Saccharomyces cerevisiae S288C: one gene and its partners. Changing the gene in region 1 together with any one later gene gives a genetic interaction. Each region holds a gene or a part of one and is shown on either strand. Other genes may lie near its edges. The genes, in order: FYV8, SEC63, DED1 and CWH43.

The links.
Region 2: mutations in FYV8 (region 1) and SEC63 together harm fitness more than expected from each alone (negative genetic interaction), as found in Saccharomyces cerevisiae (2 studies listed by BioGRID).
Region 3: mutations in FYV8 (region 1) and DED1 together harm fitness less than expected from each alone (positive genetic interaction), as found in Saccharomyces cerevisiae (2 studies listed by BioGRID).
Region 4: mutations in FYV8 (region 1) and CWH43 together harm fitness more than expected from each alone (negative genetic interaction), as found in Saccharomyces cerevisiae (2 studies listed by BioGRID).

Annotation. Positions count from the first base shown.
Region 1 is NC_001139.9:887,650-896,049, forward strand, and holds FYV8 (Fyv8p), read right to left. Parts: upstream 4,538-8,400; coding exon 2,084-4,537; downstream 1-2,083. Other genes in the region: XKS1 (xylulokinase), read right to left, coding at 1-226; exosome non-catalytic core subunit SKI6, read left to right, coding at 1,233-1,973; SNG1 (Sng1p), read right to left, coding at 4,848-6,491; YPP1 (Ypp1p), read left to right, coding at 7,044-8,400.
Region 2 is NC_001147.6:801,168-808,716, forward strand, and holds SEC63 (protein-transporting protein SEC63), read right to left. Parts: upstream 5,857-7,549; coding exon 3,865-5,856; downstream 1-3,864. Other genes in the region: cleavage polyadenylation factor subunit CLP1, read right to left, coding at 1-1,140; TUM1 (thiosulfate sulfurtransferase), read right to left, coding at 1,383-2,297; TMA16 (Tma16p), read left to right, coding at 2,500-3,036; peptide alpha-N-acetyltransferase subunit NAT5, read left to right, coding at 3,210-3,740; OSW1 (Osw1p), read left to right, coding at 6,104-6,940; TRE2 (putative zinc metalloprotease), read right to left, coding at 7,087-7,549. UniProt on the Saccharomyces cerevisiae protein: Acts as a component of the Sec62/63 complex which is involved in SRP-independent post-translational translocation across the endoplasmic reticulum (ER) and functions together with the Sec61 complex and KAR2 in a channel-forming translocon complex.
Region 3 is NC_001147.6:721,154-729,014, reverse strand, and holds DED1 (DEAD-box ATP-dependent RNA helicase DED1), read right to left. Parts: upstream 6,105-7,861; coding exon 4,290-6,104; downstream 1-4,289. Other genes in the region: mRNA-binding ribosome synthesis protein NOC2, read right to left, coding at 1-1,503; GEP3 (Gep3p), read left to right, coding at 1,781-3,451; imidazoleglycerol-phosphate dehydratase HIS3, read right to left, coding at 6,407-7,069; MRM1 (Mrm1p), read left to right, coding at 7,307-7,861. UniProt on the Saccharomyces cerevisiae protein: ATP-binding RNA helicase involved in translation initiation. Remodels RNA in response to ADP and ATP concentrations by facilitating disruption, but also formation of RNA duplexes.
Region 4 is NC_001135.5:141,891-150,765, forward strand, and holds CWH43 (Cwh43p), read right to left. Parts: upstream 5,745-8,875; coding exon 2,883-5,744; downstream 1-2,882. Other genes in the region: CTO1 (Cto1p), read right to left, coding at 1-280; RNA-binding ribosome assembly factor RBP95, read left to right, coding at 1,744-2,616; SRD1 (Srd1p), read right to left, coding at 6,348-7,013.

The DNA of each region.
Region 1 (8,400 bases):
CGGGACATTCGATAGTGTCGCCGTGTATATAGACACCCTTCTTTGTGTGATAATGCGGAAGATCCTTTTCAAATTCCACTGTTTCTGAATGGACAATTTTTAGGTCCTGGTTAATGGCGAGACATTTCAGTTGTTGGGTCGAAAGATCAAACCCAAGATAGTATGAGTCTAAAGACATTGTGTTGGAAACCTCTCTTGTCTGTCTCTGAATTACTGAACACAACATTAAAGTACTAATCTCATCCTCCTTTTGTTTTTCTCGAGAGGGCCCCCTTATTCGTCCGCCTGAGATTGCATTGGCCGAATTGAAAAGTGACAGTTATGCACCTCAGCGGCTATTCCCTGCGTCGCTTGCTGAAGATTGAGGATTATAGGAAGTAGTAAGCTGGAAATGGTAATTTGTAAAAAGAAAATTTCTAATACTGTGACAATGTTATTAAATCGGGGTTGTTTTTGTTTGGGGCGGCCAGCGGAATAATTTGTTTTCAAGGACAGCAGAAGCTCAGAAGAACAAAATCTCCGTGATCTTTTAAACTTTTTTCCATTCTGATGGAATAATGGTCTTGATCCCCTAAATATTTCCTTTTTTATTGCAATTATGATAGAAATTAATAGTAGTCTATGCTGGATGATATATATATCTCTTTTGAGCTTGCTTCAAATTTTTTCCCGTTATAATGATGAGTGTTTTGCTTATTAAGGGTCTAGGACATTTCTATCAGTTTCTATACCAAAAGAAGAAAAAGTGGAGAATTGTTTGTTTATTTTAATATTTTGTTCTTTAGTTTTAAAAATTCAGAAGAGAAAAAAATTTTATTTGTCACAAGGAAATAAAACATAAACAAAAAAGAAAAATTAAGATTTGCAATTCTGCCGCTTAAGCAAAAGTAGATCATTCACTGGAATATATATATATAAACGCATTTATAATCTTGTAACGTGCACTCAATTTAGCTACGAAAGCCAACCAGCAAGGAACCTTTTATTTGAGTAGGTACATTTACATCTTCGGGTAACGCGGTGAAATTGAAAAATTTTAAGGCATTAATAATTGAAAAGCTAGAAGAAATGGATGAATGAATGACATTGCGAACCATTGTGCAATGAACATCATCCAAAAGAAAACATCATTTACACATATTTTCTTTCCAGGGTCCCACTGGTAAAATCTATTAACATATAAAAAGATTTACAAAAAAACTTTAGTGCCATAACTACAGCAGGATCATCATATGTCAAGACTAGAAATATACTCGCCAGAAGGGCTACGTCTCGATGGACGTCGATGGAATGAACTCCGCCGTTTTGAAAGTTCCATCAACACACATCCGCACGCTGCAGACGGTTCATCCTACATGGAACAAGGTAACAACAAAATTATCACTCTTGTTAAAGGTCCAAAAGAGCCAAGATTGAAATCTCAAATGGATACCTCAAAGGCTTTATTGAACGTATCGGTAAACATTACAAAATTCTCCAAATTCGAAAGAAGTAAATCAAGCCACAAGAATGAAAGGCGTGTTCTTGAGATACAAACCTCCCTGGTGAGGATGTTTGAGAAGAATGTCATGCTGAATATCTACCCCAGAACAGTTATCGATATCGAGATCCATGTCCTTGAGCAAGATGGCGGTATTATGGGATCTTTAATCAACGGTATTACCCTCGCTTTAATAGATGCCGGTATATCAATGTTCGATTACATAAGTGGTATATCCGTCGGGCTGTACGATACTACCCCATTATTAGATACCAATTCATTAGAAGAAAATGCTATGAGTACAGTGACACTAGGTGTGGTAGGGAAGTCAGAAAAACTTTCTCTTTTATTGGTGGAAGACAAAATTCCGTTAGATAGGTTAGAGAACGTTCTTGCCATCGGCATCGCAGGTGCTCATAGGGTAAGAGATTTGATGGATGAAGAACTGAGGAAACATGCTCAGAAAAGAGTCAGTAACGCCTCTGCTAGGTAGAATAAAAAACGCCATTAATTGCCACTGTTTATATAAAAGTACATAAAAAACAGTAAAATTGAAAATTGAACGCATTTACATTTTCGTGTTTCTACCGTAAAGCAAAACGCTTACAGTTTTTTCTTACCTATTGATGCGAATAAATCCTTTGGTTTCATAGAATGCTGGAAAACTTTTCTCCTTAAGTGCGTTACATTTTGGTTGACACTAGCAACCGTGTTAATGACAGTATGCTTCTTACTCAAATCGTCCGCGTTCGCATATGCTTCCCTAACGTGACTATGCTGCTTATACTCCTCAGCTATGAAATCCTTATCCTTATTAGAGGATGATTTTAGCGTATAATTTATCCATGTTTGTATCCCCGTATCATATTCATCTAGCTCACGCTTATAATTTCTCAACTGTTCTATCTTACCGGCGTGCGAAGTCTTACTGTTCAGTAGTTTATTCATATCTAATTTCGGTAAGTTATTCTGCTGCCCCAATTTCGCCATTTCTTCAGTACTGGGTTCATGGACGCTTGTCATTTCGCCTTGAGATACTGTTCTGTTTTCACTTTTGAAAGATGCACTGCGCGCTGCCAAATCATTGGCAGTATTGTTACTATTATCATTATCTGTTGTACTATTATCGTTTCCTGCATTTAATTGTTCCTGTGCGTCCATCGGTAGAGGTGGCAAATTCGATTGGTTACCAATCAAACCGGGAACATTATAAATCGTATTGTTGTCGTATATAGTCTTAGTGTCCCTGATTGTCTCCAAATCGTCATCTTCGCCTTTGGAAGGGAATGCATCCCAAGTACTCTCCATCTCTGAATAAGTCGATACAACACGTGGTTTCATACTAGCAGGTGTTAAATCTACTAGCTTCCCGTTAGAATCGATCACGTAACCTGGTGGCGCTTTCTTATTGGCTGTATCCTGTACGAACCCTGATCGTAAGGCCTCACTGTCCGGCTTCCAAGAATCAACATCAGTGGAGTCTTTAACTGAACTTTCTTCCAAAACTTTGTCTTCATTTATGTGGTCTTCCTCATCGCTGCCATCGCTGTTTTCCAATTCAGAACCGCTATTTGACAAATTGGTATTTTCAATGGTGTCTATTTGATTAGGTTGCAATGCTGAATCACCTTTATCATCATTACCAATCATTTTGGAGAAATAACCTGATTTGGGCGCCTTGAGACTGCCTTCATCTGAATCAGAGCTCATACCTTTTTCCTCCTCCTCTTCATCACTCGTAAGTAGAATGGAACCTTTTTCCCTATTAGAAAATTTATAGCTATCTGTATCTTCATTTTCGTCTTCTATGGATTCATTATCTTCGTTTTTGTCTTCTATGGATTCATTATCTTCATTATCTTCTTCTTCTGTCTCATTTGTCGAATATTTTATTGATTCGGTATACGACAATGCATCATCGTCAGTTGTATCAAGTTGTTTCGATTGCCGGTTAATATCAGCATGTTTATCACTAACCGAAGATCGATTATCATCATCACTACTACCACTGTTGCCTTCGTTGTTATCATCTTCTTCAGAGTCTGACGAATGCTGATAATCATTGAAAAAAGAATTTCGATATCCATTATCACTAGTTTTTGTTTCATTTGCTACGGGTTTCGGCTTTGCTACTTTATCTTGCCCACTAGATGTAGAGTTCCTATTCCTAATACTAGTCTTTTCTTCACTTTTTTCTTTCTTTTCCAAAGCTCCTGAGCTCTCGACTTCACCATCATCTTCTTGTTGTAAATTCTCCTCTTTCTCCGCAGGCAGAATATCTGCAAGGTAGCCTCTTTCGGAAACTTTAAACTCGTCGTCTTTCTGCTCAGAAACATCGCCATCACTACTCAAATGTTCATTTCCATTCCTTGTTGGCGTATTGAAAGTGGTATCAGCTTCATTAGTATCCATTGAAACCCCTAAGGAATGTGATTTTTCATCTTCTTCTACAGGAGATGATGAAGAGGGTACCGCTTCCCCTAATGGTGCTTCGTTTTGGATTTCGTCACAACTGTCTGAATCACGCCGAAAATCAGATGTTTGCCTAATTTCTGGTGTCATCTCCCTTGATATTTGCTCTATCAAATTGTCTAGGTCTTCGTTTACAGCCCTATTTGTATGTGGTGATTTTTTGTTTTCACTTGGACTTTTCAAAGATGCTGTCGACGAAAGATAATCTGATTTGGAGTGCTCGCTGGATTTTTTCGCTTGTAATTCCACAGACTCTCTTGAAGCCATAAGTTTAGGCACCCCATCTGAGAGATAGCCTACTTCCTTGTCACTAGGACTAATATCACTCTTACTGACGTTATTATCATTGCTGTCTTTATTTTCACCCGTATTTTCATCATGCTCACCATTAACATCTGTATAATTGAGCTTGGGTAAACTAGGCAAATTAGATATTTTTTGCTTGTGAATTTCTGAACCTTTTGTGCCATCCTCGGAAGAGTAGTCATATTCGTCACTACTGTCCCATCCAGCGCCGTCATAACTTGCTTGAGATGCGCTAACCCATCTATACGATTTCTTTCTACCGACCTGTTCAGTGCTCATAATAAATATCCGCTTTCCAGAAAAAGGGTAATGATCAAACAGTCCCTTTTAACTATAATGCAAGTTTTGTGTTTACCTTGTTAACCATGTATGAAAGTGGTATTTAGGAATACTTTTAAGTGCCTTACAGAATTCTTGGCATGAGAAAAACAAAATAGCTACCCGGAATGAAACACTAATGTGTCACCAAACAAACAAACGACGTTATATAATTGTTGTGATATTTGCATCTTCATCTTATGATGATGAGAATATAAATAATTTTTAATCGTATTAAGTGTATATATGAATAAGCTATTAACCCTACCCATTAATTTCCGGGCGGGTTGTTATTTTTATCAGTATTGGCCTCTGCCGGGCGGCTAGCACGCTGGGTAGCTGCTGCGACAGCGGCTTCTGCTGCTTGCATAGCATTTTTTTGCATTTTTTTACCTGCAAACTTCATACAAAATGGCATCAAGGATGTATTGAGGGCAACCCATGCCACGAGAATACCGTAATTTCTTCCCATTTTTCTTTTGGTTAAATTCAAAAAAATCACTTTATAGATATCCACGGCATTATGGATTGGCATTATGTAGCCGTACCTGTAAAATTCGTTGTTCAAAACCATTGGGTAGAATGAAGCAGAAATATTTAATATGATCCACGTCATCAACCAAATACTCAGGTATGGAGGGCAGTAAGCTATAACTAAGCTGAGAACGTTTTCATTGGCACCACCAACAGCCATCATTACCAACCACGTAGACATCCAATATACTACGAATCCTCCTCTGCCAAAGGCGGGGGTGAAATCGATCCTAAAAATTGCAGATACGGTACAGAATCCAATGGAAAGAAGAAAATAAGTTGCCCAGGAAATTAGAAGCCTGTAGATTAAAATATGCTTTGGCTTCAGAACTCTGGCCATTTCTCCGTGCAACTTACCATATAATGACAGTTGTAAAACGGTTAACAAAATACAATAAATCAGACCGACCTGCAGAGGGGCCATTAGAATACGATCAGCAAAGGGACGATAATCGTTGTAGGTGAACAACAACTGTCCTGCAATCGCCCAGTTCTCCATGTTTATATTAAGATCTCTGTCATTAGAAGTGATGTTGCTCATCAATGAGGGAAGATATTCCTTGACGTAATATTTCTGAAGGCGGACCTCCAATTGTTGCATGAGTGGTAGAATGGTCGATTTAACACTCGATGGGTCACGACCACTTTCAAACACGGATTCAAAAAAAATTGATGAATTGAACTCCGAGTTTGCGTCTTGGCTAATCAAAGAATTATACAAAGTGTCTGTAGCATTAGGTTTAACGTTTAACGCCAGCCAGTATCTCTCATCGTAAATTAAATCGACTATCTTTCTGTCAATTTCGGTGGAGTTCGTCGTACCAAATTTCCTATGAAATGATGTTGCGTTGTATATATGCCATGTCCCGGGGACAGACGCTAACAATGAGGGTATGATCGCGGAAATAGATTGAACTGAAGTATTAGATGGCGCATCCTGCAATACAACAATATTTTTCACTTTGAAAAAGTAACGATCTGTTCCGTAACAGGCACCCCAGTAAATCGATATGAGCGATACACACACACAAGCAATGAAGAAGTTGTTCAAAACAAACTTCGAGAGAATCTTTTTCCTATGATTTCGCAGTCTTGGAGAAAAAAGCCCTGTTTGAATTCTTGCCAAGGGACCGCCGTCGTTACCGCCCTTCTCTTCCTCATTAGCGCCACCTTCCCCCACAGATGACAATGAGGACGGCTTTTCATCAGGAGGCCGATAGTCTTCTAATGACTTTGCTAAGTCAGAAGAATGGCCGGAACCCTCAGCAAATCGCTGATTACTGTACGAAACCCCGTCCCTGCCGCCAGTAAATGCAGCTGCTGCTGCAAAACTAGGGTCCTCAATGTACTGTGACTCTTCATCACCAACCGATTTAGTCATATTTGTTCTCTGTACGGCTACTTACACTTATGTCAGTACCCGATTCTTACGGCGTATAAAAGATTAAAGAAACAGGATATGTGGCTTGATATATACAAAAAAAAAGAACGATATGGAGTACACTATGTATCTCTCAACAATGCTAAGATATGAAGACGCTTATTGACTACGCCAGTCCGTTTTCCATTCCCTTCTTCGAATAGGGTGGCCCGTTGATGACAAAGCTGCGAGTCATCTATCATCAAACAAACTCACGGCTTTCGCTTTTCTTTAGTCTATTTCGGATTGTACCACCTCCTCGGACATTCATAAAAGGATTCGAAAACGAATAACCACGCATATACACGGAAATAGGAGAAAACTAAACGGGAATCGGTTTATTTTTTTCTCAACATTTCTTTTTCCTGATTTTCCATCCTTTTCGAGATCCACCTATTGTGGTGAAAAATAACGAAAATATGTGCTTTAGGTGTGCAAGGCATAATGTGTGGCATACTGGAAGGAACAAGTTGAACACGCCAGCTGGAAAGAAGTTCAATACCAACTTGCCCAATGCCTAACTCAAATGTTCGGATTCCTCCTACTGTTCCATCGAAGATAATAGATGTGGTCGACCAAGCGCTAAGAGCGCGACTCTTAGGTGGCAGCACCTTCAATTCAGGGTTTGATAGTTTAGATTCCGTACTTAACTTACAGTTTAGACTACATTACCATGTTATTGGATCGAATGGGCCTGCAAAACCAGTTTGTGATGTTTTACTGAAGGAAAGTCAAAATTTAGAAAAGAATATGAGTATGATGGAGGAGTTGAATGACTATCCGGAGATTACAAAACTAGTGGAGAAAATTCTGTTCAATTGCCTCGGTATTCTTTTCTTCCACAGGGGCCAATTTCAGGAATCGCAGCGGTGCTTGCTGCACTCGTTGAAAATTCATAATAACACTGCATCGCAAAAAACAGCACTTATGGAGCAGTATGATAGGTATTTGATCGTAGAAAACCTGTACTACCGTGGTCTAGTTTCGCAAGACATAAATATCATGCAAAATGTTTTTTACAAAGAACTACTGGCCCACGTGGATACGATCCCTCCCGAATCAAACGGTCTTCTTTTCGAATACATCAGCTTGATCGTCGCAAAACTCAGGTTCAATCAAATTCAGGATTTAGCAGAAAATTTTAAAACTACCGTCGAAAATCCTTTTATTCTTTTCCTTTACATGATAAAGAAGTTCCAGTCACCTCTCAAAAAGCACATTGATAATGATGATCTTTATTTGAAGTTCGGACAGAACGTTTTGTTGAAGGCCAAATTTCCTACTGCTAGTGAGACAAATGATGAAGCTTTGGAGCATTTTAATGTCTTTTTGCAGTATTATTTCAAATTCACTCACATAAAAAAAATAAAAGTGAATCCCAGTTGGTATAATTTCATAATATCTTCAATGGAAAAGACTTTTCAAAGTATTGAAGTTTCGAAAACAGCAATGTTTCTTTTCCAAAACCTAAGCGATAACAGTAATGACGAAATAAAGAAGAAGACATTTAAAAGAGAATCTATACTAAATTTTGTTAATTTTGTGAAATACAACGACAAGTACTATCAACTGCACGATAACTCCCACCGTGACATAATTTCATTCATTGATGCGTATTCTTTTATTTTACAAAACTCCTCCAAAACCGATTCAATCGAAAATGTTTTTGATTACGATAATACGGTATCTACGTTTGCGACTTCCTTGAATTCCTTCTACAAAGAATATAATTTGCCATTAATGAGCCAATCAGAATCTTTAGATTGGCTAGAAAACAGCACCAGATGTGTATACCCAGGAAACATTTCGAAAGTTCTAACAAATGCGTGGTCAACATTGTACGAAATCAGAAAATATCAGTTAGATTTTC
Region 2 (7,549 bases), on another chromosome or scaffold:
GTTACTTGGAGTTATAGTGACGGGGAACAGTTCCACCCTACCGACCTCGTTATCGAAAACATTGCTAGGTTTCCAAATAGTTAAATCCTCATAATCAACACCAATAGCATAAGGACTCAAGGCTGTATCAAGAGAGCCGTAAAAGTACTCTCTTATGGATGTCCTCTGCAAGGATCTTTTGTATACATCATCAACTGCGGATACACCATCCAATTTAGGAATGAAAAAAATATTATTATTTCCCAATTCTGGACCAAATGTCTTTTTTACTTTCTCCCAAAGAGGATCCGTTTCAGAACATAGTACTAGCATAATGTTAACATTGAGTTTCTCAATGATATGGTGCAGTTCAGCCAAATTTTCATCCAGTTGTGATATTGATGGCGTATCGACAATGCACCCTGATCTCCTGACTTGAGGATCCAAATGTAACCTTTGACCTACTACTTGACCTAACTGGCTTATACACTCAAGGTATAGATCTTTGTTCTCATTAATCCTTTCCAGGCCAAAATTTTTCACCATTGGCTGCTTATTATGTAGTAGTGTGGCACCACTAGTGAGACTCTGACCCCAAGTGGGTAGTTGTGCATCAAGTATATCTGATATTGGGGTGGCAGATATGCATCCAGGAACAGTAAAAATGGGCTGTTGAGGGTCAAGATTGATGTATAGTGGTTGGTAAGCGTTGAATTTCAAAGCGTAAGAACATAGTGTCCTCGATAGGGAAGTCTTCCCGGTTTGCGAACCACCAACAATCACCACTCGAGGGCCTTCAAAGTTAGACATTCGTATCTTCTCCAACATGAAGTGTAGATTATAAATATATTTCATAGTATGGTTAGGCTTGACAGTTATTGTATTCGTAGTTAAATCAGGACATTTCCATAATAATTCTGTTTCTTCGACAGCGTATATGGGAAACTTCCAGTTCTGAAAAGTGTACTCATCATCTACTGCCAACTCGGTGCCAAATATCTCAACTATGCCCGAGTTTACCTTGACTATCAGTTTTCCCTCTGCTTTAAGATCAATTTGCCAATCACTGCCCTTGGGAATAACCAACTTGTGCCATTCGTTATCACCAGTTATCAATTCTTCAGAGGTAGTATGCTCATCAATACCAGGTAGACTTGCCATGATGGTTTAATCGTGTTGGAATTTCGAAAAGAATTAATAGTTTGTTCTTTTCCCTCGATAGAAAGGTCTCTGCTCATTTTTGCCAGCAGTCTTATTTTTTGCTGTTATTTTCTATTTTACCGGGCAATAACAATGAAGAGCACAAATAAGACAAAGAAAGGGAGATCGCCCTTTAAGTAAGTAGATAGATAATTAATATATGTAGCTAAATAAATCGACTTGTCAAGAATATATTTCTCTTATTAATCTCTGTTTTCAGCAATCCACTCGGGCCCGGATTTCAAGACCCACTCGGTCCAGGATCCATCATATAATCTAACATTGGGAACTCCTGCTAGCTCCAATGCTGTCTTGATAATGACTCCTGAAACGCCAGTTCCACAAGAGCAAATAGTTGGTTTACTTGGGTCCAAAGTGCAATGAAAGTCTTTCAATGCCTTTTCCAAAGTAGCGTGTATCGCCTCCCCAGCTTCTGGGTACGTTTTGGTCTCCGGATCAAGTAAACTTCCATATGGTAATGGTTGGGTACCTGGAATATGCCCCGATGGAATGTCGGAACGAGGCTCTGGTTCTGTACCTTCGAATCTACCGAGCGACCTTGCATCGAAAGCATTGAATTTCTTAGCCAGTTCCCCACTCTTTACCAATTGGAACATTTCCTCATAGTCTACAATCTCCTTGTCTTGGAAACTTTCTGAGGACTCATAATGACTCTTTGGATAGGGTGAAAACGCTGCCACCTTAGAGGAATCTAGAGGGTACTTAAACTCTCTGTACTGGTTGAAATTATTTAGTAAGTACACCTTAGGATGTCCCATCACTCCTAATGTCCAAGCACATCTAGGGGAGCTAAAGTTACCAACACGATCGTAAACCACTAATATATCATCTTTTTGAACTCCTAAATTACTCATAGCGTCGTCAAAAACCTTCTTTGTAGGGAACATATGTGGATAGGGCGATTTTTTGTCACTGATTGCATCAATATCAAAGAAAATGGAGTTTGGTATACGTGGTTTGGTCAAGAAATCCACTTTATTATCAAGCTTCCAACTGGGTAGGTACCATGTTGCATCAACTGGAACGATTCTATGAACCTTCTCACTGGCCACTAACTTAACAAACGCTTTTGGAGAAATAAGATCAAATAATGGCATTGAATGTATGGGCAATTTTCTTCACAACTTTATGCTTTTGTCCTCATTGTTTGAATGCACTTACGCTGTATTATTGTACACAGCTGAACATCCCGAGCGAAAATTTTAAAATGGTTTAATAGACGAGATGAGAGATGAGCTCTTTAAAGGTACTTTCTAAGAAGAAAAGTATCGGAACAGGACTTACCACGACAAACTAATCATGCCGGTTACTAAATCTTTATCTAAGTTGCAAAAGAACTTATCCAAGAAAGGGAAAAATATCACGGTTCATCCGAAGGGTAGAAAGTATGAAAAGCTGGTCAGGGCTACTATGCGTGAAGATAAAATCGCAGCCAAAAAGAAGCTTCATCAAGACAAAAGAGTCCACGAACTAGCTCGGGTAAAATTTATGCAGGATGTAGTTAACTCTGATACATTCAAAGGGCAACCAATATTTGATCACGCCCACACAAGAGAGTTTATTCAAAGTTTTATTGAAAGAGATGATACGGAATTAGACGAACTCAAGAAGAAGAGGAGGTCAAACAGGCCACCAAGCAATAGACAAGTGCTACTGCAACAAAGGAGGGATCAAGAGTTAAAAGAATTTAAGGCGGGGTTTCTCTGTCCAGACTTGAGTGATGCGAAGAATATGGAATTTCTAAGAAACTGGAATGGCACTTTTGGCCTTTTGAATACTCTAAGATTGATCAGAATTAATGATAAAGGTGAACAAGTCGTTGGAGGAAATGAATAAGAAGTGTCGCAGAGGAATCTTTATGGTTTATATGCTCTTTATATAATTTTATGTATATTATAGTAGAAAAAGCAAAGAAAAAAAAGAAAATTGATATTATTAGCGAAGCTTTTTCACAAATTAATCCGTAACAAACAAATTGGCAAAGACAATTGAAGGGAGTAGTGCGAAATATGGGCCGTGATATATGCACATTAGACAATGTTTACGCTAACAATTTGGGCATGCTAACCAAACTAGCTCATGTGACAGTACCAAACTTATATCAAGATGCCTTCTTCAGTGCATTATTCGCTGAGGATAGCTTAGTTGCAAAAAATAAAAAGCCATCTTCGAAGAAGGATGTACATTTCACACAGATGGCTTATTACAGTGAAATACCAGTGGGTGGTTTGGTTGCTAAATTAGTTCCTAAAAAACAAAACGAACTATCTCTCAAGGGCATTCAAATCGAATTTTTGGGCGTGTTGCCTAATTATAGGCACAAATCCATCGGTTCAAAATTACTGAAGTTTGCAGAAGACAAATGCTCAGAATGTCATCAACATAACGTGTTTGTCTATTTACCAGCAGTGGATGATCTTACAAAGCAATGGTTTATAGCTCATGGCTTCGAACAAGTGGGCGAAACTGTCAACAATTTCATAAAAGGTGTAAATGGCGACGAACAAGATGCTATCTTATTGAAAAAACACATTTCTTAACAGATGGCTGAAAAATTTTTTTTTTTTTTTTGGTTTTGCTTTGTATACACATGTATCTATTTTTATAAAGATGAAATATATACGTCTAAGAGCTAAAATGAAAAACTATACTAATCACTTATATCTATTCTGGTGATTCATCATCTTCAGCTTCTGTATCCGTATCGATATCAGTATAATCGCTAGCATCACTTTCATCATCACTTTCGGTTTCGTCGTCATCAGTAGAGTACTCATCATCCTCCTCAGAATACACCTCTACTTGTTCCACTGCAGGAGAATCACGAACTTTCATATTCATGGTAATATCCAAATCTGTAGTGAAATAATCTGTGGATTTAACGATTACTCTAAAAAAGAAATCACCAACAGTTTCAGGTGCAGGCTGACCTAATGGAATTTTTATGGTCCCGATTTCCCAATCATTTATATCGAATTTTTCGTGTTTGGTTAAATCCATTTTTATCCTCTTATCAAAGAAATCTTTGTCATCGTTCAAGTTCTTGTAAGATAGCTTTTCAATGATAATTGGCGTTTGAAGTATTTTACCATCTTTTTGAGAACTTACCAGACAGCACCAACTCCCACGTCTCTTTGTAGGGAAAAATGGTGCAAAGGAATATGGGACGAGTGGCTGTTTACTCATCATAGCAAATGGATCTCTTTGAGATTCAAAATCTTGAGGTTCTGTTAAATTTTCTTCAGGAATTAAGCTAGTTGGTATCAATGGCTGTTTAGCAGAACGAACCAGTACTTTCAAAGAAATGTATGGGGTAGATGATGGTGTTACTTGGTTCTCACCTGGGACAAGGAAGTCTGCCTTGATGATCTTTAGATTTGGAATATGCGATGCAACTCTCAAAGTTTCGTTTAACTTTGCTTGATCCTTTATTCCAAGAACCTCACCAATCTTGGCATCTTCTAAAGTAAACAATTTACCTAATGTATGAATATCTCCGGTTTTGGTAATAAAGTGCTCTTTATCTACGTTCGGCAATTGAAGGATTTGACAGTTTGGTGTTAATGGTACAGCCTGAACAATACACTTGAAAGTATTGATTGCACCCAATGCAATATCTAAATTTCTGAATCCACAAGCAATATCCAATAAACCGTGTAACAAAGAGTGACATTTGGCCACTATTCTAAATTTCGCATTGTTAAGTTTACCACTATCTCTGCGGTTAATATGATCTTGCAAAAGTTTTTCAAAATCCGTTGGTTGCAAATCCGGGAAGAATTGTTTAAATTCATGAGCAAATGATAACCAGTGTAAGATCAAATCTGTGGTGACAATCTCAGATGGCTTGTAATTGACTAAGTTACTAACAAAATTAGAAGCCGTCACATTATGTATTCCCTTCTTAGTATACGATTGTGTTCTTGCCCACCATCTACTAACAAAATATGGCAAGATTAAACCTAGTAGCGCAACATAACAAACCACTAATAATGGAGATGCACTTCCATCTACCAAAAATCTTGGTAGAGCGATACCATGTGAAGTAGATTGTGGGCCATCTGGATGACCGTATTTCAAATAGTTTTGCCTAACCAATTCGTCAGTAAGGGATTCGTAAGCCTTCGTAATCTGAACATAAGTTTCTTCCATCACACTTTTCTCATCAGGTGTTAGGCCCTTTGCTAATTTATCTGGATGAAATTTAACAGATAATTTTCTATAAGCAGATTTGATGTCTCTATCGGAAGCACTAGTAGAGATACCAAGGATTTCATAAGGATCAAATAATTTTGTAGCAGCGTCTTTAATCGCGTCATTACTATTAATCCTTTGCAGAAGAATTGCAACTAAGATCCAACCCACAATAATTATAATATTTCTCCTGCTCCATATTTTGGACTTCTTATTACTATTTTTATCAAACTTCCTTCTAAATTGTTTGATTTCATCACTGGTGTATTCTTCATTCAAGTTCTTGAAAACTTCCTCATTAAACTCCTTACTCTTCCCTGAATTCCCATCTTCAGCATTGGCCCCAAAAAAAATTTGGTATATTTGAAGCAGTGTCATAGGCCCGACGACCATCAAGAGCCCCGTTAAAATGAAGGACGGCCACGTCTCACTAGCCTCATCATACTCGTAATTTGTAGGCATTGTGCTGTAATATGCAGTATATTTATTTTGTTGCGAAGGCCTTCTTTGGTCAATTATAACTGACTATTGTTCCAGTCGCATCTTTTATTCGTTCAGTGATCTTCGACGTGTTCAAGACAAATTTTTCAGAAAACGCCTTTCCGTAACGAGTGACCAATTCGCGTTATAAGAGCGATTGTGTCAGTAATGAAGTCAGATTGTGACATTATAAAGCTAAGACGTTAATAACTCAAAATAGAAAAGAAGCATGAGAGCACCACCTTCACCGAGAAAGTCCAAATCTGGTCATTTTTTTTACCTATATTTTCGACTGTGTCAACTGTTCAGTGGCCGGAAATTAAAGAGGAGGTGGCATGTCCACAAACTTCACATTCACCAATATAATACTCGCTGGAACTTGAGCCCCCTCTCCGAAATACACATTGAGGACATGATAAATGAACCGTCTGGACTATGTCCAGGAAGTTCCAAAAAGAAACCACTACTGATTGCAAGGTTTCCCAAGGGTTGCCAAGAATCACCAAGGGTATATGTACTGCAAAGGAACAATTTGTCTCGTTTAAAATTAAGCAAAAGAAAATATGCCCTAAGGTTCTATCACAATGAAATTTTTGGCAATAATTTAAAGAGAAAAGACGGAAGCATCCACAAAGTTGAACACCAACAGTGCGCAGAAACCGTTAGAAAGATCAAGAAAGTCACAGCAAACCATGCTGATGTTAAAATAATATTTCACGATAAAAATACTATAAGAAGTGACAAATTAGGGGGTAGGAGTAATAAGATGCAGACTAGGCCTAGTGTTCTTGAAGAGGATGTAGAAGAAGAAGTCTCTTCGGTATATATCAGATTTTGTGACGACCATTCCCTGAGAGTTAAAGATTATCACTCTTTGCACAGGCATTCTAAAAAATCTTCTAAAGAAAAACGAAATAATCAGGAGATTGGAAAATCTAAGTTGCTTGGGAAGCTTTTTGAAGAGGAAACATCGCGTCAAAACAAAGGTGTAGAGAAGAAACTAGATACGATTGTGATACAGAAATTTCAAAATTATCCTATTGTCTCCTTCTCTCGTGTCATTTAACAAAAAGATATATACAAACATAGGATACTAAGAGGAAAAGCATCCCAAAAAGAAGAAATGCTTGCATGCCATGTATTACATAATTAAAGAAAAAATTTTATTAACATACTTCCTTATACTTACAATATGTATTCTTTCAGTTCAATTTATTTATACCCGATGTCATTAGTCTCTTCGACAAACAATGCAGCAGACTGATGGAGTACTTTGCCAATAAGGTCAATTTGTTCTTGAGCCCTCTTCCAGTCATCATCGTAAATCGCATCCATCACTCCTGGAAATGTCCAGAAATCTACATTTCCACCATTTTTAGATTTATCCTCCTGTATCAATGTTGGTCCGAACAAAACGTTCTTATAAAATGATCTATTAGGTAGACCCGCCGGAGAGCATGTTCTTCTACCAATATTAGTCAATTTTTTATTCCATGTCCACCTATTAATTGAAAGTAAGGAGGGCTCTATACCATCCCCATGCGACCATACTATGTTCTCCCAACCTTGAGTCCATGACGCCCATTCGCTACCGATTTTCTTCCAAAATAACAAACCTTTGATTATTGATGTGAAGTTTAGTTTTTCAGGGTATGCTTGCTCTAACCTTTGCAAT
Region 3 (7,861 bases), on another chromosome or scaffold:
TGATTTAATCAAATAAAATCTTAATGGGAAGAATTGTGGTGTTGGGATTAATCTGATTACACCCAAAGTAACCTGAACCAATGGGTAAATTAATTGTCGTAAAGGAGATTCACTGCCATTTTCCTTTTCTGGTTGACAAGCAAACGATAGTACACGAGACCAGAAATCCAAGGAGTGACAGAATTGCCAGTTGTATACAATCTTGTAAGCTTCTGCGGAATTAATTTTACTGGATTTTTTAGTTGTCGCGTTCATTGTATTTCTTAAATGAATTGCCAATTGCCTAATATACTCAAATCCAACTTGGTAACCTAGAACTTCATCGATACCGAACAATTCAGCTGCCGAATTTTTTTGAAAATTAATCAGTGGCATAGAACGCATATTCGTTTTACGACAACTTTTGATAAAAGTGGAGTACGTTGTTTTTAAGGTTGTTTCTAGCATAGACTTCTTGAACTCTTTGGTGGTATTGATCAAAAAGGCAAAAGAAGCAATCTGGGTTTCTAATTCTCTCGTTGTAGACCATACTCCAACAATTGATTTAATAAGCTCCTTTAAGATCCTTCTGTATGATAAAAGATAAGGCATCAATTCGTTGACAGAATGAAGAACTAATGCTGCTGTTTCCGTATTAGTAATATCATTCAATAAAATCAACAAAGAGCCAGCATGCGACTTGACAATGGACGAGACCCTGGAGACGTTACCTCCATTTGGTAAGGTCCTTGCGCCTTTTACAATCTTGTATGGGGCCATCTTTTGAATCGCTTGTGGTACATCTTTCAAGACCATGAACATCAATTCGTGGAATGCTTTCTCATCAGTGATAGCATATTTATAGTCTTCGATGTTTTCTTCCTTGTTCAAATTTACAGCAACCTTGAAAGCACTGATTATGTTCCTTAGTAATTTTAAGCTTGGAGAATCATGAAGTTGTTTTTTCCATTTCCTAACCAATTTCAAAGAAAGCTCAATTTTTTCCTTTTCCAGCTCCATTTGTTCAGATTTTTCTTCAATATTACTGTTTCTTTCAGCATCTTCACCTTCATCTTGACTATCAATTCCATCCAATGGATTGGTACCTGCGAAGTCCAATAAATCTTTATCATTTTCCTCCAAATACTTATAAAATTCGGGATCCTTTTCGGCCAACTTTGCCATGCTTTGTCCCATGTCTTCCTCCTCTTCGGAAGAGGAGGAATCTTCATCAGATTGCTCTTTCGTAGTTTTTTTCTTCAATTTTTTATTCTCTTTTGGAATTTCGATGCCCTTTTCAAAAAAAGTTTCGACAGACATGTCCTTAAAAACCTCTTCCTTTGCAGATTTTTTCAACTGCTGTTGTTCCCTAGTACCAGCAGCATCGGCCTTTTCCTGATCAGTTTTGTTGCCACGACGGCCTTGGATTCTCTTCTTTTGGATCTTTTCCTTTCTTCTTTGGTCTAGAGTATGCTTCAAATGCTTCGATTGAAACTTCTTGGTCGATTTAGAAACTTTACCCATCTCCACTTATTCTATTGTTGACCTTCTCTATCTCTCTTACAATTCAAAAATTAGTATAAATGAATTTACCCATGTACAAGTATTCTGTTTCTCTATTTTCTCTGTAAATATCATGCTCATCTCATCGGAAGAAAAAATTCAGAAAATTTTTCAAAACTCGTCGAAGATGATAACTACTATTTGATGTTATGGGTCAAGATACATTTAACAGAGCAATATTAACGAAGGACCTTCCTAGTAACACGTCTAATTACTTTGAACAATTCAATATGCGGGAATGTTGAATCTGTGTCATGCTCTTCGAGGCGTACGTCAGTTTTCCTGTTCTGTGATTGTGAAAGTGAAATGTGCGTCATGTTCCATAAAACTACAGGATCAGGATCCTAGTAAACCAGGATATTATACGAAGCCAAAAAGTCTACCCGACTCAAAACTAAATCCTGACCTCCAAGATCTGAAGTATTTGCTATTCAGTCAAGACATACAGCTCTCGAAACAGGCAACTCAAAATGATCCTGACCTCAAAACCAAAAGAGATTTACTATTGAGAGTGATTTGCAAAAGGTGCAGTAATGCCCTTCATCATAACAATTATAACCCGGAAGAGTTTCCCGAAAGCACATTAAATGATATTCTGAACTACGTCCCCAGAGGCTCAAATGTTATGCATATTGTCCCCTTTGTAGAATTTCCCTTACATTTAGACCCCAATGTTTTGAAACGAAATGATTTAGATACTACATTAGTGTTAACGAAAAGCGATCAAGTTTTTAAAGATAAAAATGCTGTCAGCAAAAAGGTTCCTATATTCATGAAGCAATTTTTAAAGAACACTTTAAGAATTGACTCAAATAAAACATTCGCCATATCTGCGCTGAAAAACTGGAACATATCCATGTTTTACAACTACTTTAAAAACTACACATATTTGCTAGGCAACCCTAATGTTGGTAAATCAACTTTGATCAATACTCTACTACAGAAATATCTTGGATATAAGGTTAAAATTGATTCTACTGGGAAAATTAACTCCCCCTCTGAAGAAGTGATGCAAGAAGCTTTTACGAACCCGAAGAATTTTTTCAAGATTCAAGCTGCTGGTGTATCACATATTCCCAATTTAACTAGATCCGTACAAGCCTACCAAGTTGGAGGTAAAATACTTTTTGATCTTCCAGGCTATTCAACTTCCACCTCCAGATTACGCCTAGAAGAACTAATCGACGAGCGTTGGCTTCAAAGGCTGCGAAAAACCGATTTATTCAATCGGAAGCATATAAAACAGAAGACTTATGAGTCTATGAAGGGCACATCACAGGGAGGCTGTTATACCGTGGGAGGGATTTTCTACCTGGTACCTCCGAAAGGATCCATAAATCAGATTGTGAAATACATACCAGGACCATCAAAAACATTCAAGAACATTGAAAAAGGTATTGATGTATTCAACTCGTGCAATTCATCATCTGGCACACATCCGTTATCACGGTATTGTGGAATTAAAAGCGTTATATGCGAAAAAAGCCAGTACAAAAGGTACGCAATACCTCCATTTATTGGAAGTATAGAGATCGTTCTGAAAGATATAGGATATATTTTATTAAGGACAACTGGGAGGTATGAGTTCAAAGGACTACATGAGATATGGATACCTAGGGGTATCCAAGTAGGTATAAGGGAACCGCTAGAAAACTTGATTGAGTCTGGCTACCAGCGTTACATTGAAACAAATGGTAAAGAGTCAAGCTGTCCCAGAGATAGACCGATCATCAGTTCCCTGTATGAGATGGCCCCGGATGAAGCTGATACTTTGAACGCAGTGAAGAAGTCGTATTTAGAAAAAACCGAGAAAGATTTATCTGCTAGAAGATTTGTCGACGATGATCCTTATGATTTGGTTCAACACCTAGAAAAAAAAAAGAATCCCTATTGGTACTACCAATGGTAAGACTCGCTGTTCACTTGGTTGCACCAATAAGTAGTAACGCACATGTAAATATGAATGTAAGTAAACTAAAAAGAAAGTTGGGAACAAAGTATATTCAAAAACGAATATACAGGAAATAAGCAATAGAAAGTATTATGAATTATACTGTTGATGTTTATTCTATCTACAAAACACAAATAAAGTAGAGTATAAGGCGAGTCAATAAAAAGGCCTCAACTCAAAAAAGGGAGAGAAAATGTAGGAAGGAAATGAATACTATTATACAATGGTACTGTGAACAGTAAGAATATTTTCGTAAGGTAAAAAGAAACAATAACAAACAAAAAAGGTCGAAAAAACTGTTCAAAATAAAGTCTCTATTCGAAGAAAACTGAAAAAGTGGAAGTGGAAATAAAAGATAATGTAAATAATCAGTCCAATGAATAGATCGGTTAAAGCAATTAAGCAAAAATAGTGGAAAATATAGTAAAAGTAGATAATAATTCCTTCATCTTTTCACTAAAAGATGAAAATCTTAATTGCTTATAATCATAGTGAAATCTTTAGTTTTTTAGTTAATATTAGCAAAGGCATTTTATAGTACAATTGTAAAATAATATTAGAACCATGAAAGAAAAAAAAAACAAAAAAACGATGGATAAAAAATAAGAGTGGAAAAAAAGTAACAGATTAGTGGCTCCCAGTGAGAAAATAAAAAAAATATGGGGCCAATCAACGGCTAGAGAGAAACAAACAACACAGTATTTTCAGGACTTGGATAAAAAAAGTGATTGGAGAAAGAAAATATAAGACATGCTAGAGCAGAAAACGAAGAATCCTCACCCTAGTTTGTCTGAAATCACCACCAAGAAGAGTTGTTTGAACCACCGCTGTTACCCCAGCCAGAAGACTTGGAATCGCTACCCCAGCCACTACCGCCTCTGAAAGAGTTATCTCTGCTTCTTGAAGAGCCCCAGCCGCCTGCGCTAGCGCCTCCGGCCTTACGGTAATCTCTGTTGTTGTTGCGACCGAAACCGCCTCTACGGCTGTTGCTTCTGCTACCTGGAGCACTCATCATAGCGTCCTTCAAGAATGATGGGACTTCTTGGTTAGCTTCAGTCAAAATTTCATGCAAACCTTTAACAATGTTACTGTTTTCACTGTTGAAAAAGGCAGTGGCAAGACCGGTGTTACCGGCACGACCAGTTCTACCAATTCTATGGACGTAATCATCGACATCACTTGGTAAATCGTAGTTGATAACGTGGGTGACGTTTGGAATATCTAGACCTCTAGCTGCGACAGCTGTGGCAACCAATAAAGTAGCGGCACCAGATCTGAAGGCGGCCAAGGCACGTTCTCTCTCAGATTGGGTACGGTCACCATGAATGGCGGTAGCTCTAAAGTTTTGCATGATCAGGAAATCGGTCAATTGATCTGCCATTCTCTTAGTTTCGACAAAGATCAAAGTCAAACCGTCAGTGGATGCAGACAATAGATCCAATAAGGCTGACTTCTTATCTTGATTTTCAACGTATAAGACTTTTTGAGTAATGTTTTCTGAAGTAGAACCGACTCTACCAACAGACAAAAAGATGTAGTCACTTAAGAAATCACGGGCCAAATGTTGGATATCAGCGGGAAAAGTAGCTGAGAACATCAGAGTTTGTCTTTCACCAACAGGAGTCATATCACAGTCTTCGACAATATGTCTAATTTGAGGTTCGAAACCCATATCCAACATTCTATCAGCTTCATCTAGAACCAAATACTTGACGTTGGCCAAAGAAATTTTACCACGTTCCAACAAGTCATTCAAACGACCTGGAGTAGCGACTAAAAGATCGCAACCACGTTCAATTTCTCTTAGTTGGTTACCAATTGGAGAACCACCGTAGACGACGCAGGCCTTGACCCAGGATCTATAAGTAAATTTCTTGGCTTCATCGAAAATTTGGGTGGCCAACTCTCTAGTTGGAGCCATAATGACAGCAGTTGGGTAGGCCTTTCTTTGGTAAAAGGAGCCTTGAGACTCTGGTTGAGGAGATGGTCCAGTCTTAAATGATTCGGACAACACTGGGAATAAAAACCCACCAGTCTTACCAGAACCGGTCTGCGCACAGGCCATCAAATCTCTGCCGTTGGCAACGATAGGGACGGAGTATTTTTGCACAGGTGTTGGCTTGGTGAAACGGGCCAATTTGATGTTTTCCAATAACAATCCGTCCAATGGAGGTGAGGTAAATTCTGTGATTGGTTCAGGAACATCCTTACCAGAGGCGTCCACTGGAATATCATCGTAGTTATCGAAGTTAATACCAGAAGATTGGAAATTTGGATCCTCGGGGACACCAAATATGGCGATCTCGGCCTTTTCGTTTCTTGGAGCTGGGACATGTTTGCCATCGATCCATCTACCACCAGAACGGCCGTTAGATCTGCTGCCACCGTTGTTTCCACCGAAGAAACCACCGTTGCCGTAACCACCACGACGGTTGTTGCTAAAGAAGCTGCCACCGCCACGGCCACCGTTGTAGCCGCCGTTGTTGTTATTGTAGTTGCTACTGTTATTTCTGGCACTTCTTGGTTTTCCTCTTAAGTGAGGAGGAACATAACCATTCTCGTTGTTGTCGTTGATGCTTAAATTTTGCACTTGTTCGCTCAGTTCAGCCATAATATGAAATGCTTTTCTTGTTGTTCTTACGGAATACCACTTGCCACCTATCACCACAACTAACTTTTTCCCGTTCCTCCATCTCTTTTATATTTTTTTTCTCGAGTTCAAGAGAAAAAAAAAGAAAAAGCAAAAAGAAAAAAGGAAAGCGCGCCTCGTTCAGAATGACACGTATAGAATGATGCATTACCTTGTCATCTTCAGTATCATACTGTTCGTATACATACTTACTGACATTCATAGGTATACATATATACACATGTATATATATCGTATGCTGCAGCTTTAAATAATCGGTGTCACTACATAAGAACACCTTTGGTGGAGGGAACATCGTTGGTACCATTGGGCGAGGTGGCTTCTCTTATGGCAACCGCAAGAGCCTTGAACGCACTCTCACTACGGTGATGATCATTCTTGCCTCGCAGACAATCAACGTGGAGGGTAATTCTGCTAGCCTCTGCAAAGCTTTCAAGAAAATGCGGGATCATCTCGCAAGAGAGATCTCCTACTTTCTCCCTTTGCAAACCAAGTTCGACAACTGCGTACGGCCTGTTCGAAAGATCTACCACCGCTCTGGAAAGTGCCTCATCCAAAGGCGCAAATCCTGATCCAAACCTTTTTACTCCACGCACGGCCCCTAGGGCCTCTTTAAAAGCTTGACCGAGAGCAATCCCGCAGTCTTCAGTGGTGTGATGGTCGTCTATGTGTAAGTCACCAATGCACTCAACGATTAGCGACCAGCCGGAATGCTTGGCCAGAGCATGTATCATATGGTCCAGAAACCCTATACCTGTGTGGACGTTAATCACTTGCGATTGTGTGGCCTGTTCTGCTACTGCTTCTGCCTCTTTTTCTGGGAAGATCGAGTGCTCTATCGCTAGGGGACCACCCTTTAAAGAGATCGCAATCTGAATCTTGGTTTCATTTGTAATACGCTTTACTAGGGCTTTCTGCTCTGTCATCTTTGCCTTCGTTTATCTTGCCTGCTCATTTTTTAGTATATTCTTCGAAGAAATCACATTACTTTATATAATGTATAATTCATTATGTGATAATGCCAATCGCTAAGAAAAAAAAAGAGTCATCCGCTAGGTGGAAAAAAAAAAATGAAAATCATTACCGAGGCATAAAAAAATATAGAGTGTACTAGAGGAGGCCAAGAGTAATAGAAAAAGAAAATTGCGGGAAAGGACTGTGTTATGACTTCCCTGACTAATGCCGTGTTCAAACGATACCTGGCAGTGACTCCTAGCGCTCACCAAGCTCTTAAAACGAGAATTAAGAAAAAGTCGTCATCTTTCGATAAGTTTTTCCCACAGCAAAGCAATAGTAGAAAAAAACAATGGGAAACGTTGAATGAAGACAAAGCGTCGTGGTTTAAAAGGAAATACGCTCACGTACATGCTAGGGAACAGGACCGTGCAGCGGATCCATATGGCAAGAAAAAGGCCCACGTCGAGAAGCTAAAGGAGATCAAGAATCAGGCGAAATTAAACCAAAAGAGCCATAAATCCAAGTTCCAGAATAAGGACATTGCTCTGAAACTTATGAATGATAATCCTATCTTCGAATATGTCTACGGCACCAACAGCGTTTATGCAGCGTTGCTGAACCCGAGTAGAAATTGCCATTCTCGGTTGCTGTACCATGGCACTATTCCTAGTAAATTTCTTCAGATAGTCGATGAACTGAAGGTTACGACAGAGCTGGTGGACAAGCACAGATTAAACTTGTTGACCAATTACGGGGTGCAC
Region 4 (8,875 bases), on another chromosome or scaffold:
ACTCAACAACCCTGTTATGATTTTGATATTTTAATTCGTCCGCAAACAACTTATTGAAGTTAGACTGCGAAATTATCGTAGGTACGCCTGAAGATAACAACGGCAGTGATCTCGTTCCATTGTATTTGTATTTATGGTATCCGTCCATATATGTCTTGGTAAAATGACCCCACTCAGGTTTCAACCGCGGGTTCAGTAGATACGGTAATTTAGCAATGGTGCAGATTGTGTCAACTCTTGTGATTGTTTCATCAAAATCTGAAATAATAATGGTTTTCATATCCTCCACTGTTCGCTTCTGGTTACTGCAATTGTTAAATGCATTGGCTCGATTGTCAACATTGCTTTGTGCGAAGAAAGGTCGCTTTTAAAGAAAACGATAAGAACTAACCTCTAACTACATAATAATAAGAAAAAAGTATACAGATAAACAAGCTCAGTAGTAATACATAAAATAAAAAGTTTTGCAAATCGATTGTCCACACACTTCTATATCAATTCCAACTAAGAAAACGAAGGAACCGACTCAAACCGGTGTAAAAGCTAGGCTTTCAATCTCTGCTCCTCCAAACAAAACTAGTGCTTGATATCACATCCAATTAAATTACGTAAATAATTTTAGAGTGACACCATCGTACAAAGAGGGCATTAAGCTTATTTTTTTAATTCTTATGAAAAAAAAAATGTGAAAGAGAGTAGAAAATTTTCATAACGAATCTCTTCTATTCTTATGTACCGTTCCGCCAAATTTTTCATGAAAAAATTTGGGAAAAAGAAAAAAAAAAAAAATAGTATATAAAGTAAAAAAGATGCGCAAGCCCGGAATCGAACCGGGGGCCCAACGATGGCAACGTTGGATTTTACCACTAAACCACTTGCGCTAGTAATCTTGATACATGATTCGAGAAAAGCAACAATATTATGTATACGGAATATACTAGGAGTTCTCTTCAAGGATAGAGGAATCCTCAAAATGGAATCCATATTTCTACATACTAATATTACGATTATCCCTTCTTCTATTTTATATGTTTCATTATCCTATTACATTATCAATCCTTGCACTTCAGCTTCCTCTAACTTCGATGACAGCTTCTCATAACTTATGTCATCATCTTAACACCGTATATGATAATATATTGATAATATAACTATTAGTTGATAGACGATAGTGGATTTCTATTCCAACAAGAACATCCTTGAAAGGTCGACTATTAACATAAGAATAAGAGAGAGTGTGTGGCCGATGCTGTTGCTATAGCTCGGTCGTAGTTTAACACCACGGCATTATTCAGCTTTAAAACAATTGAATTATAAACCTGCTTTTCTTACTACGAAAAGTGTTTCCCTTTAATAAATCTATTGTACATACTTTACAGTTGATAGTACCTTCACCATAAAAATATGCAAACGCTTTTGTTATTGGGAACAGGAATACCAACCGTTCTCATGGAAAATAGCAAAGTGTAAAAGAATTTATTATCATCGAGTGATAAAGAATATCGCCAGATCTTTACGGATATATATCGCTAAAAATATTTGTCGCCAATAAAAGATATGTCTAACGCTCCCTTTGCAGGTAGTTTTTTACTGGCATCGCCTTTTTACTGCAAATTATTGAAAATTTTCGAGCGAGAAAAAGGAACGAAAAGAGATGAGCTAAATTCAAATATCAAAGTACTGTCATAAGTGCTTTCTTTATCGACAAATTACAAGCAGAAGAAACATTCACTTCACAATTAAATGTCCGAAAATCACGTTCCTGCCTGGAAAAGAATTGCTTTGAAGAGACAGACTATAAGCAGTGGTGACGAAAGTAAAGAAAAAGGCCAATCCAATCTAATAGATGATGATCCACTAAATATCACTACGCATTTATCCACTGGTAATTTGACAAAGAAAGAGAAAAAAAGAATCATTAATGGTGAGAGCAAATCCTCTACCAAAAAAGGGAAGCGTGTGTCGAAACCAGGGACGAAGAAGAAGGAAAAATTGTCAAAGGATGAAAAGAATTCGAAAAAAAATAAAATTCTTAAAGATCAATTACGTTACCTGATAGAATTTTTCAGGACAAAGTCTGAGAGCAAGTTTCCCACCGGAATCCTAGAATTGGAAAGTGTAAAAGAAAATTACGGCGACTCCCTGATCAAAGACGAGCCATCAGAGTCTGGTGTTGTTGAAGTTTGGAAATTTTCCAAGCAAAAGCAAAATTGGCTTATTAAGCATTTTTTCAACTTGGACGAAATCCCCTCAGTATATAATGATCTTTTGCTTTTATATTTCAGGGACTTACAAGGTAAATCAAAAGAAGAACTAATATCAAAATGCAAAGGAAAACTGAAGCAATGGAACGACTATGTGGAAGATCAAGAAACAAAAATAAAAGCGTTAATTGCAGAGGATAAGGCTAGCGAACCAATTAATGGTGAAGAAAAAGAAGAAGGTGAAAAAGACGGTAATGCCGAACAAGGGAAGCAAAAAGAGGTACAAGACGAGCAAGAGGAAGTACAAATGCCGAATAAAGAGCTTGTTCAAAGAAGTCTGAAATTACTAGAAATTTGGAAGAATGATGACTCGGAGCAGATAGAACTTAAGAATTTCTTCGTTGATGTTTAACATAGAGTTCAACAACGTTGTTCAGTTGTAGTATATATTTTACTGTGAAATACGCTCAAAAAGTAGCGGGATAAATCGTTTCAGGAAGTATAATTTCTTACAAAACTATAACAAGATCGTCTAAGTAACATACATAAAGAAATCACATAAATTTTTAAAATTCGAGGTCAAAAAAATCAGGTGGATACATAACTTACCTTAAGTTATCAAGATTTTCAGTACACACAATGTGATTACACTGATTTATAAAACCACCTTACGGCCTCTTATAAGTAATAACGTGGCTCATCAAAAACATGGTAGAAGTGACCCCTCTCACCTTCGCCTAAAAACTTATCTGGAAATTTCATGTCCTCATATTCCGGTTCACTCATATGACCGTATTCATACATAGAATCCGAGTGCTCTACTAACGCTTGCTCACTCAAAACTTGGAACTTACCAACTTGTAGCTCCGTATCGGTTATCGTTCCTCTTGCAACTCTAGCATATCCTGTTCTTCTCAAGCCCCTATACAAGATATACTCACACCATCTATCATCGTCAGAAGGATCAATGTCGTGCATTCCGGATGTTTCACTAACGTACGTATTGTAGTTGCCTTCACCTGGATCAACAACTAAGTAACTTAATAAAATAGCTGGGCGAGTCGTATTGCCCATGAGCTTAGCCATGTAGTTACTTTGCAGTCTTCTATCCTCTTCATCCTCTTCTTGTCCACTATGGAATACAAAGACGTCAACGAGAGTGTCATTGTACGTTTGAAGTGTGGCATGAATGGCTGGCGCAAGTTCCCCAACTGGAGAGGGCAATAAATGATGCGTAGAATTTACGATAGGGAATTTAGAAAGAAGAACACAGCCCCAGGTATGTTTATTTGGACCTGGTCCGAAATCTGCATACATATTCAAATCATGAGCTAGTTTGCTAGTTAGATCCCTGTTCCCCATGGTAATTCTTTGTGTATCTGTTTCTAGTAGACCTACCACATCTAGTTCCATATCTTTAATAAGGTTGATCATTCTGTCTTCAGATGCCCACATATCATTATCGAGACCAAAGTGGATAGTCCAAATACCAGCTGTAATCAACTGAGAATCTGGATGATAAGGCTGAGGAATTCCTGTAGGTCTAATATCATACACGAACCTAGCTGTTAGTGATAGCAGGGCCACGGCAAAGAAGAAAACATAAATGAAGAATTTTTTGCCCATAGTCACCAGTTGAATGTTAAGGTTTTTGCATGTTAAAGCACCAATAATGATAAATGTGGAAGAAAAGGCAAGAACCGTCTCAATCTTCTCCCTCAGTACCCAGCCCATTGGAACAAATGCGTATGCAACGACCCAAACATGGGCAAGGACAAAGATAATATAAACGGAGAATGATAGGACATAAACCCATATGTTTTGAACTTGGCCTAATGCAGAAAAATACGAAGGAACTAACCAAAGCATAGCGATAGCGTACAATAAACCACCGAAAATATATTTAGGCCATTGTGTAATGCTTCTAGCTGAAAGTACAGCAGTGGATATGAGAAGCAACAAACATGGAACTAATGGCTTGCCCATAAACTTCACAGAACTCAAAGAAGCAAATAACATGACCGTACAAGTTAAGGCGCCCCAAGGCCATGGCAAGGGACCGTGTGATTCATTGTAACCTTCCCATGCCCAATAAATAGTAGTAGAAGAATCCGTCAATAACTGATGAATTCCGAATAACAACGAGCCAAAACCAACAGCCAAAAATAATTTGCCAATCAACGAAGCAGATTTTGCTTGAGCATTCCTTTTCCCTTCGAAATTAATTGAATTAACATAAGGCGACAGCATGCCGAATAAAACAGTAAGCACGAGAGCTGTCTTATTATACCCACCATTACGTTCATCTAAAATGACCCAAGTTGGATTGTTGGTATAGAACCCCATTTTCAAGATCACAGATGCAACAAGACCTAACAGCCAAGTTAGAGCAAAAGAGAAACTAGTCTCCGCATTTGTGATATATCTTAGATTTTGTACAAACGTTGCAACGGTAATGGAAGTTCCCACAGCTACAGAAATCAACCTTAATTCTGGCATCTGAACAATATAGGCACCAATGGCAATAATACCTCCTAAAAGTACACCATATTGCGTGAAGGCTTCAGAAACGAACGGCAGATATAAGAAAATGGGTCCCAAATAACCCAATATTGCAGCTTCATAACCTGAGATTCCCATATACCATAGCGGGAAATGCCAAATACTACATAACAGGGACGTAACGTTCGACCAGAAAAGAAAACCGTTAAAAATATTTGTTAGTAAGTAAAAAAAAGAGTCAAACCTGAAATATGAACCAGTTGCGCTTCTAGCAACGGGTTTTTCCTTTTCAACCTTCTTTTCACCACTTTTCTGCAATTCTGAACTTTTTTCTTCTCCATAATTTATGGGACTAGAGTCTCTAATTTGGAAAAAACTGGTATTACCGGGTTTCTCATTAAAAGCGAGAACAATATCTATCTTTTTGAAATCAGCGTAAGCAAATGCATCAAATGCAATATCTAAAAGAATCAGAGACCATTCGAAATAAGCATATATAGAATATGCCCCAGCTCTCTGTTGGACGGAGTGCTGAATGTACCAGTAAATCATCGGGAACAATGTTCCAAAAAAAATTGTAGCAGTCAACCCTTTGTTCTTCGAAGTTAAAGGACTAGAATAGCGGGTAATCATTATATCCCATGGTAACGTTAAAACAATGTATGTGATCATAAATATATCATGAATATCGTGGTCATCTGTACTTGTAATGTATACCCAACCACCGCAAGAGACTGTCCGGAGTACACCGACAAGGAAGCATACCTTAGATTGGTTCAAGTAGTAGTGACCTAGTAGCAGTAAAAATCTTGGAAAAGCAGTTAGAGCTATTAAGATTTGGAAAATAGAACGTTCCGGATAGCGGTCCCCGATAGTGGCTGATACACTAGGAAACCACTCATCTGGATACGTATAATGTGCATTGGTTACAATTTTATGAAAATGTAATGAATAACCAGTGACCAAAGCTGCAAAGAAGGCGGAGAATGCACAAATAGTATGAGCTATAGGGATGATCTTCCCATTGATGATCAGCATAACTGGCGGTGGATACCTTCTGTATTCCTGGTTACTTATTCCTCGAGAAATCGGACATTAAAAGGGTGCAAATACTGTGGAGAAATTATAAGTTACCAAGTCAAAAAGCGAATGAGAATCTATTGTTGCGATTTTTTTGGTTACTACTTCTTACCCGAACTAACTTTACATAATAAAAAAGCATGAAGCGCATATTCAGGGACTCAAAAATCCCAAACTGGCACTTCTGTATATACCGATGAGCATACTTTGATTGTAAAAAACAACATTAAAAAGAACTGCAAACCTGAACCAAGAATACTTAATTTCAAAACCGAGAAATGAGGTACAACTTGTAGAAGTTCACTTAAACTTATTGAGCATACAATCTCAACAAAACTAACTGCAAAGTTTGTTGCTATAGTCATATAGTAATACTAGCAGGAAGCCATTAATCAAAAAGAAACTCCATATAAAACGTAATAAATATTATGAATAATAGTACAATATAAGAACAAAGACGAAGAAAATACATTATAACTGAAGTGCCAATATTAGAAAAAAAAAAGGTGGAATATCCTAGTGGAAAAATATCATCTATGCGGTGAAAGAATTAAATAGATACTATGGATTGTTTCGATCTATCCTTTTATCTGCTGCTTGCCTTTTTTTTTCATTCTCCTTCTTCAGTCTTTTTCCATAGGCGAGTCCACAGGGACTACAAAGTTCCCTGTTTTGGTCGGGTCCACTACGCCATTGAATTGTCCAAGTGTCTTTACATTTAGAGCATTCCTTTATCTCACCATTTGGGAGGATTGTTTGTCTCTTTTCTCTTTTAGGACGACTAGTAGTCTTTTTGCTGTATTTCTTCGTAATACTGGCAGACCGACTAGTTCCTTGTGCACAACTATGGTAGCCTTCAAGATTGTTTGCTTCTTGGCTAGTCGTACGTCTCTCGGAATTGCATGCACTAGTTACACGATTCTTTGAGGGTGTAATTTCGTTCAAAGAGCTGGTTTTGTTCTTAACAATATTTCTTGTAAGATCTCTTAGTTGTTCGGCATTCTCAATTTTTTTTTCAACATCAACAGCCCTTATTTGAGAAAAGGATACTTCAATAAATGAGCAACTTGCATAAACTCTTCCGCGTTCCTTATATGCCTTCTTTTTATCGTTTGACTTCCAGTCATCAATTTCTCTATTTAATAATAACGTTTTCTCCATATCTGACTTTTTAACTACTCTAGTTAAGAAGGAACTTCCAGAGTTGTCATAATTATTATATCGCATACTAGCAATAGTAAATGTCTGGTTATTTACCTAGCAACCTCTTAACAAAGCGATAACAATGAAACAGCAATATAAGTCTATTTAATTGACAACATCATTGATAAAAGTTTGAACAAGCGTCTAAAAGTCGAAGAAGTTCATTTCAAAGTTTTGTGTATCGAGCTTGATGATACTTATTTAGGGATCCGCTCTAGTTTACTGTGATACAACTGAAAAACATTACAAAGCTATCGCGCCTGCATTCTCATATTAGTGGCGTATGTTTGTGTCACATTCGATACTTCTACATAATACAATGACTGAACCCTTACCGCTGGCACAGGAATACCGCGCCGCGAAAGCAGGGTCTAGGAGAAACAATAGAATTCTTGGCGATGAGAGAGGGGAAGGCTTTAATAAAAAAAAATAGCGCTTATCCGATTCTGTTGGAATAAGTGGCTATCAATATTTACATGTTGATATGGTAGTAAGGATATAAATGCTTATATTGAATATTTGGAATAAGCATCAACTATCACTTATTGAAAAGGACTCGAACAAAAAAATATGAAATGTCGAAAGCCACATCACTGAGAAGTTGTTGGATTGAAGCTCTAAAATGTCATCTTTTAGTAGTATTCGTGTTACTAGTATATTATCACATGCGGTGTAAAAAGATGACGTAAAGATTGAGAAACAGTCATCAACTGTTATGGAAGCTGAAATGCAAATATTGATAATGTAATAGGATAATGAAACGTATAAAATGAAAAAGAATAATAAAATATTATTATGTAGAAATACCGATTCCATTTTGAGAATTCCTATATCCTTGAGAAGAACTTCTAGTATATTCTGTATACATAATATTACTGCCTTTATCAACAATGGAATGCCAAAAATTATCAAAATATCACCCAATATTCAATTTTATTGTTGTGAAGACATCAAGCCCTAGATATATATCATAGTAGGATAAAATAGTAGAATAAAACTATTCATATATCTACGTGAAAGCATCAGAGATTGTAATGTTGAGCGCCGTGGCGCAGTGGAAGCGCGCAGGGCTCATAACCCTGATGTCCTCGGATCGAAACCGAGCGGCGCTATTAAATTTTTTGAACTGTCCATTAATAATAATGGAACTGACGTCGTCAATTACCGGTAGCTTTTTTGCCCACATTTTTAATCATCTTTTAAGTATTTGAGTATTTGTTGTTCACTAGAGTTTTACTAATTAAGGTTCTGAGAAAATAAAGATATGCATTTAGAAAAGTCGGTTCTACACCGCAAATTTCTTTATTACAGAAACATTTTATACAAAGAGGATACATAGTTATTGGAAAGAAAATCAATTATCTTTTTGTTGGGTAGTATGAATATTACTTGTACATTATCATATACAATATAAAAAGATGTCATAGAGTTGTGAAATATTTATTATATTTAATAAAAGCTGAAGCGCAATGATTGAAAACGTTTTAGGATGATTAATGATAAAGTACAAAATGAGGAGAAGAAATAATAATAACATAAAGTGGAAATACCGGTTATCTTTTAAGGATATTATAACCTGGAGGAAAACTTCCTGGGTTCTCTGTATATTCAACACTTTTCCGTTATCAAAAATAGAATCCCAACAGTATCCCCATTTTCGTCAATATCTCCATAACGACAAGGTCTTCTAGATACCATATAATGACAATAACCAAGCCCACCATTTAGGTGGATTTTTTGTGTGGTTTTGAAATTAAAACATTTTTAGAGGAAAATTGTGATCACAGAATTTCACATTCCCAGTTACTTTAATAATATTCATAGTTAGAGATGAAGAGGTACTATTAATATGAAGGTTAAGTATGAATCTTCTCATGCTTCTATAA